Rhinolophus ferrumequinum: one gene and its partner. The protein of the gene in region 1 binds, or shares a complex with, the protein of each later gene. Links are inferred from orthologs where the notes say so. Each region holds a gene or a part of one and is shown on either strand. Other genes may lie near its edges.

The links. Proteins that work in one complex are often made in the same cells at the same time.
Region 2: the proteins of OPRL1 (region 1) and PNOC are in contact, whole or in part, in a cryo-EM structure (PDB 8F7X), measured with the Homo sapiens proteins. The link is inferred for Rhinolophus ferrumequinum from reciprocal best matches to the Homo sapiens genes OPRL1 and PNOC. Residues at the interface, in NP_000904.1 of Homo sapiens: Gln107, Asp110, Gly114, Phe115, Trp116, Val126, Ile127, Asp130, Tyr131, Met134, Gln192, Glu194, Ile198, Glu199, Cys200, Leu201, Val202, Ile219, Val279, Gln280, Val283, Gln286, Gln291, Pro292, Ser293, Val298, Leu301, Arg302, Thr305, Tyr309; in NP_006219.1 of Homo sapiens: Phe130, Gly131, Gly132, Phe133, Thr134, Gly135, Ala136, Arg137, Lys138, Ser139, Ala140, Arg141, Lys142, Leu143.

Annotation. Positions count from the first base shown.
Region 1 is NC_046306.1:122,657-132,642, forward strand, and holds the start of OPRL1 (nociceptin receptor), read right to left. Parts: upstream 4,275-9,986; 5' UTR 4,138-4,274; intron 2,432-4,137; 5' UTR 2,300-2,431; intron 1-2,299. Other genes in the region: protein LKAAEAR1, read left to right, coding at 4,426-4,974, 5,165-5,734; RGS19 (regulator of G-protein signaling 19), read left to right, coding at 9,977-9,986.
Region 2 is NC_046301.1:29,408,862-29,418,015, forward strand, and holds the start of PNOC (prepronociceptin), read left to right. Parts: upstream 1-5,149; 5' UTR 5,150-5,287; intron 5,288-5,506; exon of another isoform or gene 5,507-5,556; intron 5,557-9,154.

The DNA of each region.
Region 1 (9,986 bases):
CAAAGTGTCCCCCAGGATTTGTCTGCATCTTCGCTGCAGCCAGCTCAGGGACACGTGTGGACATGTGTCCACAGAGACACTCAGGAAACAGGGGCACACAGAGTCACATGCCTGCAGACACACACATAGATGCCCAAATCGGTCTATGGGAACACACACAGACACGGGTACGTGCTCAGAAATGCAATGGCACTCGCAGGGGCGTGCACACACATGCAAACCTACACCAAGGTGTGTGCAAGGCATGTGGGTAGACACGTGGGAACAGACAGACACAAAGATCAAGGCCCCAGACACCCGGCTGCACACGTGCACCAGCCTCTCCCAGTGAAGCATTATCCGGCTGACCCCAGGTACCCGAGAGCCTCAGCTCCCACCGCCGCCCCTGGCAGGTGCACCTAGGTCTGAGCAGCCAGCCCGAGTCCCCGCCTTGGCTCCCTGGGACGCCTGGCCGCTCAGCAGTCTGCAGAGCCACATTTCTTGATGGCCGTCAGCTGCCTCATGTCCCAGGCCCCAGGCTGGGGAAAGCAAAGGGTCATGAGGCTGCTTCGAAGCTGGATGTGCGTTCTGGACAGAGCCAGCACAGAGGACAGCTGCAGGTGGACACCTGGTTTCTCACAGGCACAGTCTCAGCCAAAGGACAGGCTTGGTCACCTGACTGGTGGGTGGCCAGCCCCAGATGCTGACTACACTCCCTGGGAGTGGCTGCAGTCCAGCCCTGGACCCTTCAGGGCTCCCACAAAGGGGGGCATGGCACAGAGGAAATGGCCCAGGCCTCTCCTGAGCCCTGGGCAGCAAGGGTAAGACAGAACATACGTGTCACACATGGGAGAGCAGGGGACACACGTTACATAAGAGAGCATTTGTGGGCGGCCCAGTGGCTCAGTTGGTTAGAGCAGGAGCTCTGAAAAACAGGGTTGCCGGTTTGATTCTCACGTGGGGCAGTGAGCTGCATCCTCCACACCTAGACTGAATACGGCTTGAGCTTCGAGCTGAGCCACCAGTGGGTGACCTGTTGGCTTGTGGTTAGAGCATGAGCTCATAACACCAAGGTCGCTGTTTTGAGTCCTGCATGGGCCAGTGAGTTGTGCCCTCCACAACTAGATTGAAAACAATGACTTGACTTGACGCTGAACTGCACCCCCCACAACTAGATTGAAAAACAACAACCTGACATCTTGGAAAAACACAGTTCCCCAATATTCCCCAATTAAAAAAAAAAAGGATTGTAATAATTCTGAGTTTCATCGTAATGAATTACTTTGTCCTTGTGATTTTAACTTCATAATACTTATACAGAGGGTGCCAAAAAAATATATACACATTTTAAGAAAGGAAAATTGCATTAAAATTTTAATAATATATACTGATAACAAAAGATGAATACAAGTCATGTTTGACTTCTGCAATTACAAGAGGTGCTCAACGTGGTTCCCATCAGTGTCCAGACACTTCTGATTATGGCGAACTACTGCTTGAGCAACGTTGACCAAAGTGTCCACTTGTTTACACTTTTTTGGCACCCCCAGTATACGGCAACAGGAGAACTGAGTTGCAGGGTTTCAATATGTTACATGTGGTAGTCATTTAATAAAGCTTAGCAATTTCATTGTGAAGTTTTATCGTCAAACTTCGGTGCCAATCAACATACTTTTAGATGTCAGCCTTTCCATCAGCCCTTGAAAACCCCACAAACCCTGGACAAAAAGACAAAGGGAAGAATTTTTATGTAAATGTAAAATTATTACAAGATTAAAACTTTTAACATATAAATATATATATATATATATAAAGATGTGATGGTCTAGTACCTAAAATCATGTCAGACTTATAGAAAGTGAGCATATTTCACTTAAGCAATAATGATGAAGATGACGATATTGTTCGCATACATTTACTGGAACATGTTTTATGTCAGTTACAGTTCTAAGTGATTTAAATGTTCTATTTCATTTAGTTGAATTCTGTCAAATAGTTCAAATAGAGTTTTATATATGACAAAAAAACCAAACCAAAACAAACAAACAAAAAAACAAAGGGAAGGGTGGCTGGGTGGCTCAGTTGGTTAGAGCACGAGCTCTTAATAACAACAAGGTTGCGGGTTCCACTCCCGCAAGGGATGGTGCGCTGCGCCCCCTGCAACTAAAGATTGAAAACCACGACTGGACTTGGAGCTAAGCGGCACCCTCCACAACTAGATTGAAGGACAACGACTCGGAGCTGATGGGCCCTGTAAAAGCACATTGGTTCCCCAATATTCCCCAATAAAATTTATAAACAAAAAACAAAGGGAAGACACCTGCCTGCGGGTCTCCCTTGGTCACTGAGCCCCAGACACACAGGCCATCTTCCCTTCCAGTAGAACCCGGTGTGTGGAGAAGCAGGAAAAAGATGTCTTCAGGAATGGAAGCTCTATGGGCACCAGGCCCTCCTGGAATTAGAGGGAAGGAGGTGTCAAAGTTTTCAATCCCACAAAAAGTCACAAATCCCTCCTTGTAGGACAGCATGCCCCCAATCCACCTGTAACCCCACTCTAACCCCAGGAGCCAGCAAGCCACTCCTTTCCTGTGTGGCCTCCTGGCTGGGACCCCGGGGAGCTGAGAGGAGGGCCCAGATCCCTGTCTCAGAGGACTCACCCACATGGGAGCAAGGAGTGGGGGCCAGAGGCAGCCCCAGCCTGGACTATGTGTATCTAGGAGGCCTGCCTGCAGGAGGTGGCCTGCTAAATCAGCCTTCCTAAGCCCTCACTGCTTCTTCCGGAGCCAGAGACCCTCATCTTCAACAAGCCACCAAGTTGGTGCTGATTCTTAAGGCCCAGGCCATCCCTCAAAGGCACGCACAGGGCAGGATGGGCCAACATCCAAGGAACAGCTATGCAAAGCCCTGGGGGCTTAAAAGTGGGAGTTTGAGGGGTGCAAGCTCAGGGATATAGGGGCACAGAATCATAGGAAGTCAGAGCAAGCTTCCCAAAACAATGGGAACGGTCAGTAGCCTCCTACACAGAGGCCAGGACCTCAGCTGTGACCCCATCCCAAAGCCAGCATCATCCTCGATTCAGGGGCTCAGGTCCTGAACTCCCAAACAGCGCCCTCCACCGGCCCCAGCGCCCAGATGCAGGAGTGAAAGGGAGAGCTGCGTGCACACTGTGGCAGCCCACGCATTAACAAATTATGGGCTTAATACACTAATTTTCGTCTAACATAAACTGTGGCGTGAGCATATGAATTAATGAGTTCCCAACAAACTGATGAGTGCATGAATAAAATACAGAATTAATAAATTGGGCAGTGAATTAGTTATAGAATGTTATGAAATTAGCAAATACACAAATAGATTACAGAAATCCAGTACCCCGAGATTTACGGTTCAGCAACAAAGGGGTCTGGTCTTGTGGGACCCCTGGGCCCCCAAACTCGCCCTGGAAGAGGTGAGGGGTTCTGAGTTTGCCCCAGTCTCGCCTCTCTGTGAACGCCAGCGACTGTGGGAGGACCACGCAGAGAAAGGGCCTCAGCCCCCTACCTCCAAAACTAACCTCCAATGACCTCTCCAGCCAGGAAGCCAAGGCAGAGGCCCAGAAGACTGCCTCTGGGACTCCCCAGAAAGGAAAGAAAGCGCACGGGGCTGCAGGAGCTGGCAGTCACCACCTCCACGGAGTTCGACAGGCTGGGGCAGCTGCCGGCATCTCGCCCCGGTGATGGGGACGCCCTCCACTCACTTGCCCACGCCCCTCCTGAGGGGCTTCTCCGCCCCACCCCCCCTTGGAGGAGAGGCGGGACTCCCGGTTGCCCGGCAACCGCGTCAACAAGCCCAGAGAGTAGGGGCTTTGTTGAAGGCTCAGAGTCAAGAAACTCGAAAGTATGGGGTGTGGGGACCGGGTCGGGGGAGGACCTGGCTCAGCGTCTCGGGCAGCTGTGGGCTGGATCCCGGGAAGGAAGGAGCCCTGCAGGGCTGAACCGGGCCCTGGCGATGTTTCCCCGCCCCCCATCACCTCCTCCCTGGGCTCTGCTCTCCCTTCCTCCACCTAGAGCCAGTTCCAGACAGGCTAGGAGGATGAGCAAAGCAAACAAATGAAGCGGCTGTCCTTTTGGCTCTGAGCCTCCTCTGGGGTTCCAGTGGGCTGGGGGTTTGATGACTGACCGGTGACGGAAACACAGGGAACTGGAGCGCAGAGAGGGTCGTCCATCAACGTGGAGAAGGATCCACGGAGCTTCACTAAAAGCAGTGTCACCTGGTCTAAACCACTGGGTAGGGCCTGAGGTCAACTCAAGGGTCTCGGTGTTTTCTCAGTGGACAGACAAACAGCCTGTGGGCAGGAAGGAAATATCCCGAAACTCCCGAAAGGATCAGAAAGTTCTAGCTGACTGCAGCACTGAGTAGGGAGGCTGAGCTGATGGGGACGCGTGGTAGGCGTGAGCGGAGGTGCAGATGCTGGAGGTGCGGGACCCACGGGGGTGGGGCCTGCGGGGACTCTGGAGGGGCCAAGCCAGGCCAGAGGGCTGGGCAGGTGCCAAACGGACACCGTCTGGGCACCAACAAGGCGATGCCTCTTCCCCTTGGCAAGGGCCGAGAATGCAACCGCCGGCGGCAAAGGATGCCGGGCGCAGGGACTCGCGGGACCGAGCCTCGAAGGGCACGCAGGGTGCAGAGTCCCCTGAGGAGCACGCCAAGGGGGCGCCGGCGGGAGAGCTCCCCATGCCGGGCTGGACCCTAAAACCGGAGGCACTGGCAGACATGCATCCCGCTCAGTGCCATCGCCACCTGCTCTTCTGCGACCTGCCTGAGGACGTGGGCGCGGCCGCTTCCATCTTCCCGCGTGAGTCAGTGGAACTGGGGTACCGTATGCCCGACCTGCGCGCGTGGACGAAATCACTCGAGCTACCCGCGGCGCGCCAAGACCGGCTCCTCGGTGTCCTCAAGGCCGCGGAAGCTTGTGGACGAATCCGCGCCTTGCGGCTGCGCTACAACCATTTGCGGGTGAGGCCAGGGGCTCAGAGGGAGGGGCAGGCAGGCGAGAATTGGGGGGCAGGCCGGGAGGGGAGGCCGGCCCGGGACCCTGAGGAAAGGGGGCTGGAGGACCCGCGGGGGCTCGCGGCGGGAGGGGCGGAGCAGGGCAATACGTCGCGCTGGCTCAGAGGTACCCCACGTGCCACGCCCCGGCCGGCAGGCGGAGGAGATCTCGCTCCTCATCCAGCGGCAGAAGTCCGCGCGCGCCGCCATCCGGCTGGAGCTGTTCCTGCCTCCGCAGCTGAAGCCCACGAGGATCCCGGACCCCCTGGACCGTCAAGAGGTGCCTGCCAGCCCGGGAAGGCGGGGAGAGAGGGCCCCGCCCTCCTCTCTCCACACCTGGCCCCAGCCCCTCTCCCCCGCAGCGGAGGCGCTTGGAGACCATCCTGGAGGAGACAGTGGATGGCCACATCTTCCCGCGTTGACGGCTACCCCACCTGCCCACATAAAGTTCTCATTCTCCAAGAGCCTGCTGGTCTTTACGCTCCGTCTCCACGTCCCAGGGCAGAGAAGGAGGGGATGGATGCTGCCTCTCCGACATAGGACGTCACAGACATTGGGGTACACAGAGTGGAGCTCCTCCAACAAAGTAGGAAGTTGCAAGTGGGCGGGCGTCATTAACAGGGAACCAGGACATCCCTCACCCCCCCAAATCCGCAGCCTCCAGCTGTTGAGTCCATGGGGGGCAGGAAGAAGAATGTGGCTTAGCAAGTCACACCCCCAGAAGTAAGCAGCCTCAGGGAGAGACAGGGGCTGAAGTGGGACCCCCAGATTGCAGGTCATCCCATCAGGGTGTCAGAGAGGAGGGTGACATTATGGGCAAAGGAAGTAGCTGCACACAAAGCTGCCTTTGGATGGGGCAGCTGGATGGCTCAGTTGGTTAGAGCTCCAGGTCTCAACAAACAACAAGGTTGCCGGTTCAATTCCCTCATGGGATGGTGGGCTGTGCCCCCCTGCAACCTTGAAAACGGGTGACCGGACTTGGAGCTGAGCTGCACCCTCCACAACTAGATTGAAGGACAATGACTTGGAGCTGATGGGCCCTGGAAAAACACACTGTTCCCCAATATTCCCCAATTTAAAAAAAATACCTGGAGCGTCAGCTGTGCTGGGAGACTGGAGAAGGGGCAAGTTCTCCTCAGGGGAACCCTGCTGCCCCAGACAGAAAATCACCCTGTGTTTTTCCTTTTCATCCTGAATGGCCTCGTCTGTCCCCTCTGCCTCTCTTACCTCCTCACCACGTACATACCCAAGACCAGAAGGAAGCCGCCCCTGCCCCATTCTGACAAGCCTGTCTGTCCTGCTAACCCTATGGATTCCTTAAGAACCTCCATGATTCTGGACAGACCTTCAAGAACACTGTTCTCCCACACAGGCTGTTTGCAGAGCCCGGGATTTCTCTCAGCCACCTCTCCAGCGGGGGCTCAGGGACGCAGACCAGCCCCACCCCTGCCAGGGGCCTCCTGCTGAGTGGGCAGCAGCAGAGCTGACCCTGGAGGGGCGCAGAGGTCAGAGCTTGGGGTCTGGCCAGGAATCCTGCTCAGTGGCGGTCACTGCCCCTCCCTGACCCGGCTCAGGATGAAGACCTGGGCCCTCCGTGCCCTCAGCAAGCCCTTCTCCCCATCTGTTGCTGCCTTTGGCGTCGATGGACACCCAGAACTATGTGCGGAGTGGGAGGGAGTGGGGAGCTGCATGTAGTGGCAGGTGGGAAGGGGAGTGGGTGTGTTGGGAGGGGGAGGGAGAAGGAGGGGGGCAGAGAAGGTGGCTTGGGTGAGGGACAGAGACAGAAAAGGGGAAGCAACCACTGCCCAGGAGTGGTGGCCACTGGCACCCAGACAGGCATGGAGGACAGCCAGCCCTGGCCCCTGGCCCGGCTCCCCGCCATCTGGACCCAGCACCCTGTCTCTGGGGGACGCCTAGAGACTGAGTGCCTAGGATGACTTCATCATTTTAGTAGAAGCACATTTTATTTCTCCACTTCTCTAAGCCTCTGTTTCTTCATCTCTAAAACGGAGTCTCAAGGGTCTCGCTGTTGCCATGTGCCCCACAGCGATTGCTCCTAAGGCAGGGTCACTGCATTAGGCAGGCACCTGAGGACAGAGGGACAGGGCAGACGCACAAAGCCCTGAGGAGAGGGCTAGCAAGAAGACGGCCTCACAGACAGCTGTGCATATGGGCGCCCTTTGATCCCACCAGGGACAGGCCCTAGGTCCGCAGACCAGCCTCAGAAAGTGTCTGAGGAAAGTGGTGGGGCCTGGAGGTGGCTTCTGCTCTGCGAGAACAAAGCCTGCACCACGTCCCATGGGCCGTGAGGGATCAGATGGGATGCCGGGCTGAGGCTTGTGCTCTGGGCAGGGGGCCCTGGGGTCAGTCGCATCTCCACATCTCCTGCTGTATGGCCTTCAGGGGCTCCTCCCCAGTCCACCTGGGATCCTCCATGGGCTGCGGGGACACTGCAGAGACAGACTCCCCAGGGGAGGTACGGGAGACCCAGAGGGTGTGGGGGACTGGCCAGAGGAGGGAGGGAAGTGTGCTGACCCCCACCCATGACCAGTTGCCCTACACATGTCTTAGGCGGTGGGTGGAGATGCCACACACACTGTGGGATCCGCCTGGCTGTGTGACCTTGGCCAGGTGCTGGCCCATCTCTGTGCTGTTACCTCTCAGGACTGTCATCTGGGGTAAATGAGAAGCAGTCGTCTCCTGTCTGGACAGGCTTCCAGCCTGGGCCCTGTCCTGGGAGCCTGCCAACATGGCAGCCAGGGCCCCTGAGCACACAGCATCAAGAGGCACCCCAGCCTCCAGGGCCCTCTGGCCTCTCTGACCTTCCCCGCTCTCAGCTTGGCCTGAGCCCCTGCCATGCAGCCTCCTCTACCCTCCCTGGCCCTCTTCACCTCTCACCCATTCTGCGGGCTGGGTCTCATCTGCTCTAGGGCTGGTCTGTCTAGCTCACTGCAAGGTCCCGCTCAGGGGACAGCCAGAAACTTGCTGAATGATGAGGAGTGCGTGGAAAATCTCCACTTCCCTTCACATCTCGACAACTTGTGCGGTTGGGAGGCCCTCTGTGAGCCGGACCGGCTCCAGGAGCTCACCAGGCCGAGTGCCTGCACTAGGGACAGGAGCTACATATGGTCTGAGTCCAGGGGACCATTTCCAGAGCAGGGTCAAAGCCACTATGACACTGGCCGTAAGCATGCTGGGATAAGAAATTGAACTAACAGCTGTACCAGGTCATAAAGTACCAGGAGAATCAGCCAAAGAGAAGAGACAGGACATTCGAGGGAAGGGGACAGTGTGGCTTTAAACTGCATGACACCTTGGAGCAACTGAAGGGGTCAGAAGGGAGCCGGCCAGCAGCCACAGATAGAGAGAGACATGTGGTGACTCCAGGGGCAAAAATCCATACCCCCAGCATCCAGGTTCACCTCAGCACAGGACCCCGGTCCCCTCCGTGGGAAGCCCCCTACAGTGTGGTAACAGTGCGGTGATAACAGGCTCTTAACCTCATTTTACAGGTGAGGGCACCCAGTCTGGGAAAGGCTAGGGTGGGGCCTAGAGTAACCACGACACAGTCCTTTCCAGCGGGGCAAGTAGCGTATGGGGACACTTGCGTCTCTAGGACTCTCGTGCCACACATCTGGCAGGAAGCTCATGGCCGACTCACATGAATGGCACAGCTGGAATGGCCCGGCCGAGTCGGGGGCACGGCCACACCCCCACCTACTACAGTTCCAGCTCAGGCCGCCTGGAGGCCAGAGACCCCAATATTAGCACCTCATCTCCATGGGCCACCCTAAGCGACGACGGGGACCAAGGCGCTGGGCCGGACTCTATGGGGTGGTGGGGAGGGGGCGCGTGGGGCGCAGAAACAGCCAAACGCGGGGCGGGGCGCGCCGGGCGGGGCGGGCCGGGCGCCTCCCCGCGCGAGGAAGTCCCAGCCCGGCGCTTTGGGGAAGTGCGGCCGAGGCGCCTGCGCACTGCACCCTGCGCCCCCTCCCCGACGATCCGGCCGGACTTCGGAGCGCGCGGGCTCGGCGGCGGCGGCGGCGCGAGCGGCTCGAGAGCGCGGCCGGTGAGTGCACGCGCGCGGCGCGGAGGACGGCGGCCCTGCCCCTGCGGGCCCGGGGCCCCGGGGCCGTGTGGGGCGGGAGCCTCGGGAGCCGACTCCGGGATCTGCACCCCAAGGACTCCCGCCGAGGGGTCCACGTGGACCCTGGGCCGCGGCGGGACTGGAGCCCGTCCCCACCGCGCGCGCGGGGGGAGTCGGCGCTGCAACCGGGTTCCCCTTTTCTGCAGCTCAAAGCTTGGGGAAGTGATTGCTCAAAGGGGGGGCCGGAAGAACCCAGGTTTCCGCGTCTCCCGCCCCCCTCAGCCTGGTGGGGAGGGACCGAGGCGGGACACCCTGTCCGCCCCCGCCCCGTTGGATCTGGCAGCCTCTGAGCCCTGCGAGTCGCAGGGGAGGCGCTGCGCCCCCGGCCCCAGCCGATCGGGGCCCCCGGCGCCGACCTCCCTCCAGAGCGCCGCAGGAGAGTCCCCTGCCGTCTGACTCGAATCCCTGCTGCTGCAGTGCACGCCCCTTCGGCAGTCAGGGTGGGGGTGCAGACCGAACGTGGCCCCTCCCGCCCCCACCTCGCCTTTGGGTCGCTGGTGAGTGGGGCGCCATGGCGAGTTCCTTGAGGTAGGGGTGGGGGCGTCAGAGGCTGGAAGGGACCCCTGCAGAAGGCGACAGGTTCCTCCAGGCCAGACCCTACCAGCGGAGAGAGAGCGCGAGAGAAGTGAGTCGCCCCCACCATTGCAAAGGTGGGCTGGGGGCGAGGGTCACCAGGGTTAGGAAAACTGACCGGCCTTGTAAAGCCACGCTGGGGCTCCCCCACCAGCCAAACTGGGGGCTGGGGAGCAGCAGCTAGGAAAGGTACTGAGTAGGATCAGAAGCAGGGACTAGAGCCCCTCTGTCAACCCCCTCCCAAAGGTTATGGCATTTT
Region 2 (9,154 bases), on another chromosome or scaffold:
AACAGGGAAAGGGTGAGAAGCAAAATGACTCAGGTTATAGAACTGAGTGGCTGTGAGAATGCTATCGTGTTTCCCCAAAAATAAGACCTAACCAGAAAATCAGCCCTAGCACGATTTTTCAGGATGACATCCTCTGCACATAAGCCCTGATGCATTTTTTGGAGCAAAAATTAATATAAGACCCTGTCTTATTTTCGGGGCAACACGGTATTACCAACAGTGGAGATTTGGATTGAGGTTCGTTAAAGGGAATATGACAACGTCCTTGTGGGCATCGAGGCGACATCTGAGTGAGGACCTCCTGAAGGCACTGGAAATATGGCACCAGAAGTCCAAGGGGGAGATTTGAGCTGGAAGGAGACTTCAGAGTCCTCCCAAGGGGTGGAGTTGTGAAAGGAAATGAGCTTGCACGTGAAATTGGAGCTTAATCTAACAGAGGGACAAACTGAAGAGGGCTTTGCCTCCACAACGTGGAGCACTCATTTATTTGTGGAAAGTTATACTCGTAGAACATAAGGATATTGGCACCACCCCCGTGCCCCGCATTCAGCTATTGACCCCAGAGAAACACTACACCATCCTACAAAACTTCTCAGGGTACCATGATCTGAAGTGTCTGAAATGACTGTCTCCTTATTCTGAGCACGGCATTTCTTAAGTATATATGCTCCTCACATTCCAAATTTCAGAATACGCCTCCTAGTGGTTATGGGACTCTTAAGACACAGCCAGGAGAACTGCGTGCATGTTGCAGGCAAACTGTGACGTGGCAAAGAAAGACATACATTGTCAGCTCGGTGCCTGGGGAAACCAATGCTGGGTCTGGGAGCCCGAGTGTGGAAGGAACCCACTGCAGCCCAGTGTCCCACAGTGAACTTCAGTTCCCTTTCTAGGGTTTTATCCCCATTATCTGATGGGCTCAGTATCATATTCCAGCAGCTGTAGGCTGAATTATGCCCCCCACCCACACAAAAATTTTTGTATGTTGAAGTCCTAACTCCCAATACCTCAGAATGAGACTATATTTAGAGATAGGGTCTTTCCAGAGGTGACTATGGTTAAAGGAGCACATTGAGATGGGCCCTAATCCAATCTGACTGGTGTCCTTATCAGAAGAGGAGATGAGGACGCAGACACACACAGAGGGAAGACCCATGTGAGGACACAGGGAGAAGGAGGCCATGTACAAGCCAAGGAGCCAGGCCTCAGGAGAACCCAGCCCTGCCGACACCTTGGTCTCAGACTTCCAACCTCTGCAACTGTGAAAAAAACAGGTGTCTGCTGTTGAAGCCACCCAGGCGGTAGCACTTTGCTACGGCAGTCCCTAGCAGACTAGCCTACCTCCTAATCCTCATCTTTTCCCATATTAAAGCCCAGCTGCCACCTGTCTGCCCTCTCAGAACCTGCAATATGATCCTCAGCATCTTAACTTTCATTTCAAAAATAGGATAAACATCATGCCGTCTCTCATATGAACTTTCCTTGCAGTCTGATTTTCAATGAGCACATTATGTGCTCTCTGATTCTCTAATGGCCTGAGCCACGACTATATATGCTGTCCTGGCCACCCTTCATTAGCGTACGTCTTGTACCCCAGGCTCCTTCTTGAGGGACAGGACACCTGAGTCCATCTCCCTCTTGTACTCACACCACCTGGCACGGCACTCGGCTGGAATGTCTGGGTAGGAAAGCTGACACGTGCAAGGGTAATCACTGGCTCTTCGTCTTGAAATTGTATTTGCCTATCTCTTTGTCTAAAACCTAGCTTTAACTGATTACTAAAATTCAGCTTTCCCTCAATAACCCAAAGGCCCAAAGTTATGGAGAAACTTGGGTGTCTATCTTAAATATCCACTTGTGATCCAATTCAAGGTGTTTTAAACTGTGGAGAGGGTTTGACCTCTTTGAAAACAAGCAGTTTTTCCTGCTAGGACCCTGCTAGTGTGGTTACTAAGGAGACCGATTGGCTATAGGTGCTGTAATTAATCAGTACATTTTGAGCAGCCAAATACCTGGTGGTGAGCGTCTCTTCTACTTTGAGAGGAGGAAATGGCTGGGGGTGGAGGGTATGTGTTCGAGGAGTCCAAAGTGGCAGCCCCGCTATGGAGGATTTCTTCCCCTTGTACTCCCTCTACTGAAATTTCTGGTGGCTGTTTTAAGAGTCTCTAAATCTGCCTCCTAACTTACCTGTCAGAACTGAGTGGAGTCTAATGCTTGCAGCCACCCTGGCTTGGGCCTCTCGATGGCAAGCTGCATGGGCAGAAGGGAACTTGCACCGATTGCCTCAGAGTCACTAGAAATAAGACTGTGTGATCTTTCCCCTACAACGATTTTCATAAAATGTATACTGTCATCCAGAAGAAGAGGGCAGATGCTGCCTGGTGACCAGTTCTGACGCCTGAGGGAGGCCCATGAACCTTAAGGCAGCAGATGCAGGGGCAAAGCCCCGAGGAAAAAGCCTTTAAGTGATTCAAGCACCGCACAATTTGCACCTTTTCTAGTCCTCTCTTGCTTTTTGGAGAGGCAAAGTTCTTACAGCCTCACACGACAGTTGTTGCAAACGCCTTCCCTGGGTTCCCTCCTGTCCTCCACGTGCGATAGAAGACAGCCTACCACAAAATGCAGCCTCAGTCAACCCAAAGAGAACTGCTGGGTCGTTGGGTTCAACACTTTCGTTTGGTAAACAAGGAAAGAGAAGTATAGTGATTTTCACGCTTGCTTTCTCTTTCCCTCAATTGCAAGGGAAGGAAAAAAACGTGGGTATCCAACACCCTGGAAATGACTAGGTGCTCAAAGGAAGGTTGATCGTTTCTGAAGATTTTCCAGTGCACATGAGAGAAAATCCAAAGAAGTGGCTTTAATTAAACAAAACACGGAGCCTCTGCCTACCCCGCCCCACTCACCCCGCCCTGTGACTTTGTAGTCTCCGCCCACTTTGGCTCTGTACTGGTACTCTGACTGCCTTTAGCCAATAAATGCAGCAAAAGCAGTGGAGTGCCAGCTCCAAGGTCAGGCCTCAGGGACTCTGCATTCTTCTGCTTGTTCGCTTGCTTGATTGTACTTGCTTGTGCTTGAACTTCAGTCTTGCTATGAGACCACGCCAGACCAGAAGGCATAGTAGAGACACATAAAGGTTAGGAGACACAGATTGGAACCACGGTGTCCCCAGCTAACCGCCAGCCAACCTCCTGAAGCTACCGCCAGCTGACTGCAGATTCATGAGACAGCCAAACTGAGACCGGAAGAACTGCCCTGCTGACCACCAAAAACTGCCAATTTGCAGTGTCACGAGCCAAATAAGCAGTTTGTTGGTTAAGCCTCTGAATTGGTGTGGCTTGTTACACAGCAACAGCTAACTGAACCCTGACTGATATTTGAAATAGTTGAGTTTTTTCTCTTAAAAAAAGTTGGAGGTTCGAACTCCATGATTGGTATGAAAGCACCACAGTCATCAGGGACCCAGAATCTTTCTATCTTTATGCTCCATCATCTTTAGTCCATGGCTTTTATCCTCAAAATTGTCTCATGATCCAAGATAACTGCTAGAGCTCCAGCCATTACATTTGTGTTCTGTTCAGGAAGGAAGGAGGGCAAAGAGAGGCCTTTTTAAAGAGCTTTCCTGGAAACCCCACCTATGGACTGGACTAGCAGCTTGATTCTCACTGACTACCCTTGGCTGCAAGGAACCCTGGGAAAGTAGTCTTTTAGCAGAGCACATTGCCACTTAACATAAAATAAAGGGTACTGTTTAGTAAAGAAGAACAGGGACTGGGTATTGGGTAGGCAATCAGCAACATCTGCCACTGCACGTGTGAAATCAAGCTCAAGGGACCCCAATGTACATCAGGATGCAAAACTGACCACATAGCAGGCCGATTTCTCAGATTTCATAGTGGTGGCTTTGACCTGTAGTAACAGAGTGCAAGATTCGCACAATAGAGATGTAAGTGTAATATCATGAGTTTGCTGGTCTCCTGGGCCCGTTTGCTGTGAATATAGATGGAGGAGATGTTGTATTCTGAGAAGCTGTTGCTCTTAACCTAGGGCAGATGATTGATTGATTGATTGATGGACTGATTTCTTTGTTTCTTTCTTTTCTTTCTTCCTATATGTTTTTTATTGAGATATAATTCACATAACATAAAATTCACCACTTTAAAGCATGCAATTCAGTGGTTTGCAGTATATTCACTATGCTGTGCAGCCATCAGCACTATCTAATTTCAGAATATTCCCATCATCCCTAAAAGAACCCCTGTACCCATTTGCAGGCAGAGCAGATGCCTTCTTTAATCCTTCTCCACCCAGTCTCAGGTTGATACCAGAGCCTGACTTGTCGCAGGACAGGGTGCTTAAGCTCCTTGGACAACAGGCTCACATCCTGGGATTCTGGAATATTTATGAATTTTCTTGGGAGAGCCAAGGAGGAGGTCATGGTGTGATTCACCTCGGGCTCCACAAGGACACTGCAGAATCTAAACGCTCCCGGCCTGGGCTGCCTCTGAGCTACCTTCCCGCAGGGAAGGGAAGGAGGCCCCAGACCGAGTGCTGGGGGCATCTTCAACAGCTTCCAAGACTCCAAGGCACTTGGTAGTGACATCCGGAAGTACAGCAGCAGCTTTCAAAGCACTCTGTTGTGCCACTAGATGTTGACAGATGTTGGCTTTTTAGATCCAGCTGGCATTGTTTAATATGAAAAGGATAGAGGGGATGCTGAATTCACTTTTATTAAAGGTCTCATGTGTTCCAAATACAAACAGAATATCATTTTTCTACTCACAACCATCCTGGGAGGTGTTCTACCCATTTTACAGAAAGAGGACCTGAGGTTCGCAGACAGAAGTACATTGCTCTGATAGCAGAGCGAGAATTTCAGACACTTCAGTCTGAGTCGAAAGTCTCAGCATTTTACGTTGTGCCATGCTGTGGGTACCTGTGAAATGCCACCTGACATGGCCCATGGCAGGTAGAGCCACTGCCTAGAGTGACATAGTTGTTGCTGCCTGTGGGACAGTGACAGCAGGAGGGGGCTTGGCTAAGCTTAGCTCTGGGCTTTGCTGAGCCAGTGGGAGCTTGACGTGTGCTTCCCCCTCATTCTGCCCGCTTCCTTTTCTTTACTTCTCAGGCTAAAAGGTTGTTCAAGGAGACTCGGGGCTTGGGGTCTGCTCGTCACAGTCACCAGGAGTCTTTTTTTCTGACTGACTTGCCAGGGCTCCCCGTCAGTGTTCGCCGTGCTTCTGGAAGCAAGGGGAAGGCAGCTGTGGGATCCTGGCTGAACAGAGTCCAGGTAAAGCAGGCTTGAGAATGAATGGACTGATGGGGAGGTGGGGATGTCACAGGTCTGAGCACAGAGGCGGTGGGGGGTGGGGGGAAGCCAGGAAGGACTGTAGGTTCTGCTGTTCACTTGCTTAAGGGGGTCAGCGTGTGTATGTGTCATCGAGGTGGGCAGGGAAAGGGAGGGCTGTGCGTGTGGGGGGAGGATATATATGCTGGTGTGGCTGAGATCTCAGAACCGAGCCTCACATCCGAGGGAGCCGGGCCACTGACAGCTCTCAGGTAGGCAATGCATGCGAACCCCAGCCCTAGACAGTCTGCTGGGAGCCTCTGGGAGCAGGGCAGGGGGGGCTCTCTCCTCAGCCTCTCTCCTTTGTCCAGTATGAATGCTGCAGGCCTCCTGTGAGATGATTTCTTCATTCATCTTATTTTCAATGCTTGGATGGAGGGGAAGGGAGGCTTGAGGTTTTTATGCTGAAGACAGATGCAGAAGAAGAAAGAGCCGAACTTGGAGATGAGAAAAAGTTTTGATTTCCCAGATGTGGCCCCTACTTTGTCATTGCTGTCTGTTGAGAAAAGGTGTCTGTAGGAGTAAGGTTAGGGAAGGGGCAGACTTGGGTGGGGGAGTCTTCCTCAGTGCAGCCCTGGGAAGCCCCCCTGCTCCCCTTGTGAGCGATTTCTCTGTGTGGCTGACTTCCTTTCTTTCCTTCCCTCATAGTGTGTTCAGGCTGGTTCACGGATCACTAAACTTGATTTGGATTTGGGTTTTAATCCTGAGCGACTCCTTCTCCCATATGCACCAAACAAAAATTGTTAGGCGTGATGTGGGAAAAGTCAGATGTGGGGCGTCGTGCTGGACCAGTACTGGGTTTCCCCGAAAATAAGACCTAGCTGGACCATCAGTTCTAATGTGTCTTTTGGAGCAAAAATTAATATAAGACCCAGTCTTATTTTACTATAAGGCCAAGTCTAATATAATATAATATAATATAATAAATATAATATATAATATAATACCGAGTCTTACATTAACTTTTGCTCCAAAAGATGCATTTGAGCTGATTGTCTGGCTAGGTCTTATTTTCGAGGAAACACGGTTGTAGTACATGGCTGATTGCAGCCGCTGTGTATGAATTTCACATAGATTTCTACAGGGCTGACCTTGGACTCCCGGACCCTGAGTCGTTTTGAGGTCTCCTCTTTCTTTGCATTTTTCTTCTCCTGCCCATCTCTCCCACCTAAAGGTCTCTGCTGGGGTCCTGTGGATTACGACATGCAGAAGTCATCCAAACTCTCTCTTGCTCTTTCTCAGCCTCCTTTTCTTTCTCCTTCTTTCTTTGTGCATCTCTCTCCCTGCATGTATCGCTTTCCCTCCCTCCACCACACATCCTCTCCTCCCCCATCTCACTCGGAACATGGGCAAGTTGCGGGGGAATTTCAAGCAAGGCAGGATGATTCGGGAAACGGACTATTTAAAGCAAGCTGCTTTGGACTCAAATACCCTGATCCTGGGCTTCAACATCTGTGTTTCGCTGCCTCGAGCAGCCCGTAATTGCCCCAATTATAACCAATAACATTGTTCATGAGACTAACAAAAGATGAGCTTTCCACGGCTTTTGCCAGCAAGCCTAAACCAGAGTTTTCAACATAGAGGGGAAAAGTAACTGCCTGGCTTCTTATCAAAACCTCCCAAAGAAATTGCGGCTCTTTCTCACTGCCTGTGGGTGGCTGCTGCACGCACACTCCTTTCTTGCATTTATAAACTATGGCAGGGAAATAGTCTATATGCCTCTACAGATGCTGTGATACCTTTAACAAAAAGGATTAGTGTTCCTGTGTGCTTGCTGAGTCTTCTGCAGGGTCCCTGGAAAGCCTGTCCCCAATCACCACCTTAGTCAAAGGAGCAGCTTCCCCTGTTCCATATGCTGCCCATCGAGGGTGCTATGGTGCAGCCTGGGGTTGTTCTGGGGGTGCAGTTTGTGTGTGGGGCAGCAGCCCTTGCTTTATCAGCTGAAGGCTGAGAGTACTCGGGTCTCTAGAGAATGCTGGAGATTTTTCATTGTCAATGAAGGGAGTAATTGCAAGATTAGGCTTAAACCCGTGCTCTCTGGGGCCTATAACAGGAGCTGTCACAAAGCCATTACATATTCAATCAATCAGGTATTTATCTTCTCCACTCCACGAGGCAGGGGAGGCATGGGTTTGGGGGCACGGGGAGGGGGCTCCAGTGGATTCAGCAGAGGTGATAATAACAGCCCTTTACTTTCCTACAATGATTTACATCTTAAACGCTTTCACACCTATTATCCCCAGCAACAGCCCTGCGAGGTGGTGTGATTATCTCCATGTTGCTGTTGAAAACTGAAGCCGAGAGGTTAAATAATTTGTTCAGGACGTGGCAAAGAGGACTGAATCCAGCCTTCCTGGCTCCCGTGCCTCTCCTGCTTCGGACCAGGGGTGCTTACAAACTAATGGGGTTAGGGCTGGGGCAATACACACACACAGGGAAACAATTAGGGGACAATGCCACACCGGAGTGCTAAATTGCCTGGTTCAGACAGCAAGTGCTGGAAGGACTCCCAGAAAGGAGCGCTTGCCCCAGCCATTCGAGCCGGGCAGGGAAGGAGGTAGAATATGGATGGGTCAAAGGGTTTGGAGAGAAAGGCGGCGGCCAGGACAAAGGCACTAAAGGAGGGCAAAGGAATTAACATTGCTTGAAACCTACACTGTGGCATGTAGTGAGCTGAACTTGCCTGTATGCTTATTTCATGCTAAGACACACATGCACGCACGCACACCACAGGGACGTGAGGTCTAGGGTGTTCTACACTTTTATCAACATGATTCAGTGAGCCTCACCCCCAATCCTCCAGCTCCTGAAGCCAGAAAAGGAACCTTTGAAATCTACCTGTTCTGGGTCTGGGTGGAGCTACTCGTCAGATATCCTCGGGAGGGACTGACTGGGTCCTTCTCTCAAAACAGGAGTCATCATGACAACAGTGGCAGTGGCTTAAACAGCTGGGAACTCATTAGAAAAACTGGGTTTTCTAAACCCTTTTATTGTAACGCCTAACGGTGCTCCCACAATCTAACATGAAGGTTTCCTTCTAACCACAAACTAGCTGTGAGAGTTCGGGCACACCAGTGTGGGAGCCATGTCAATTTTCTGGGCATTTCTCTTCATAGGCTATGATCACACTCAGTCTGACTTTCTGTGGTGTTCTGGTTTTTCAAATACTGGAAGCTGCCTCAGCATCACCAGCTCTGAAGGGCCTGGCTCAGTGGGTAAAGTGTAGAGCTTTACCCTCCAAGGAGTCTGTGAAAAAGTCAGTGGATGGCCACGTAGCCTCCCCACCATGGCTCAGAGCCAATCTCCCCTCTGCTCACACCTGTCCCGCGCCCTGTCTCCACCCGGCTCCCATTCATCCTTTCATTCATGTAGCTAAGAAGTGTGCGTGGCATTTCTAACGGGAGCCTGGCAGCACCTGGTGCCTGCAAAACAGACCCGTCAGACTGTCCTCAGCTTCCTCAGAACTCACAGGCAACGTCACCTACTGTGGATGTGACACAGGGTGTCATAGGGGTCTCCACAGGGGTGTGAGTGTCCGACAACCCACTGGGCTTCAGAACATGGAGGCTTTATCTTTTTCGTATCTGTCTGAATTTTCACATTCGCCTGTTGTATCATGTGTACAACGTATAACTATTAGGTTGGTGCAAAAGTAATTGCGGTTTAAAAAGTTAAATTGCAAACACCGCCGTTGACTTTTGCACCCACCTAATAAATCAGTGGGAAGTGCGTGCTCCAAAACTGATTGCTAGTGGTATAAAGCCGAAGAAGTTTGAAGATTATCGGTCTAGAGCCACTGCTCTTCTGCTT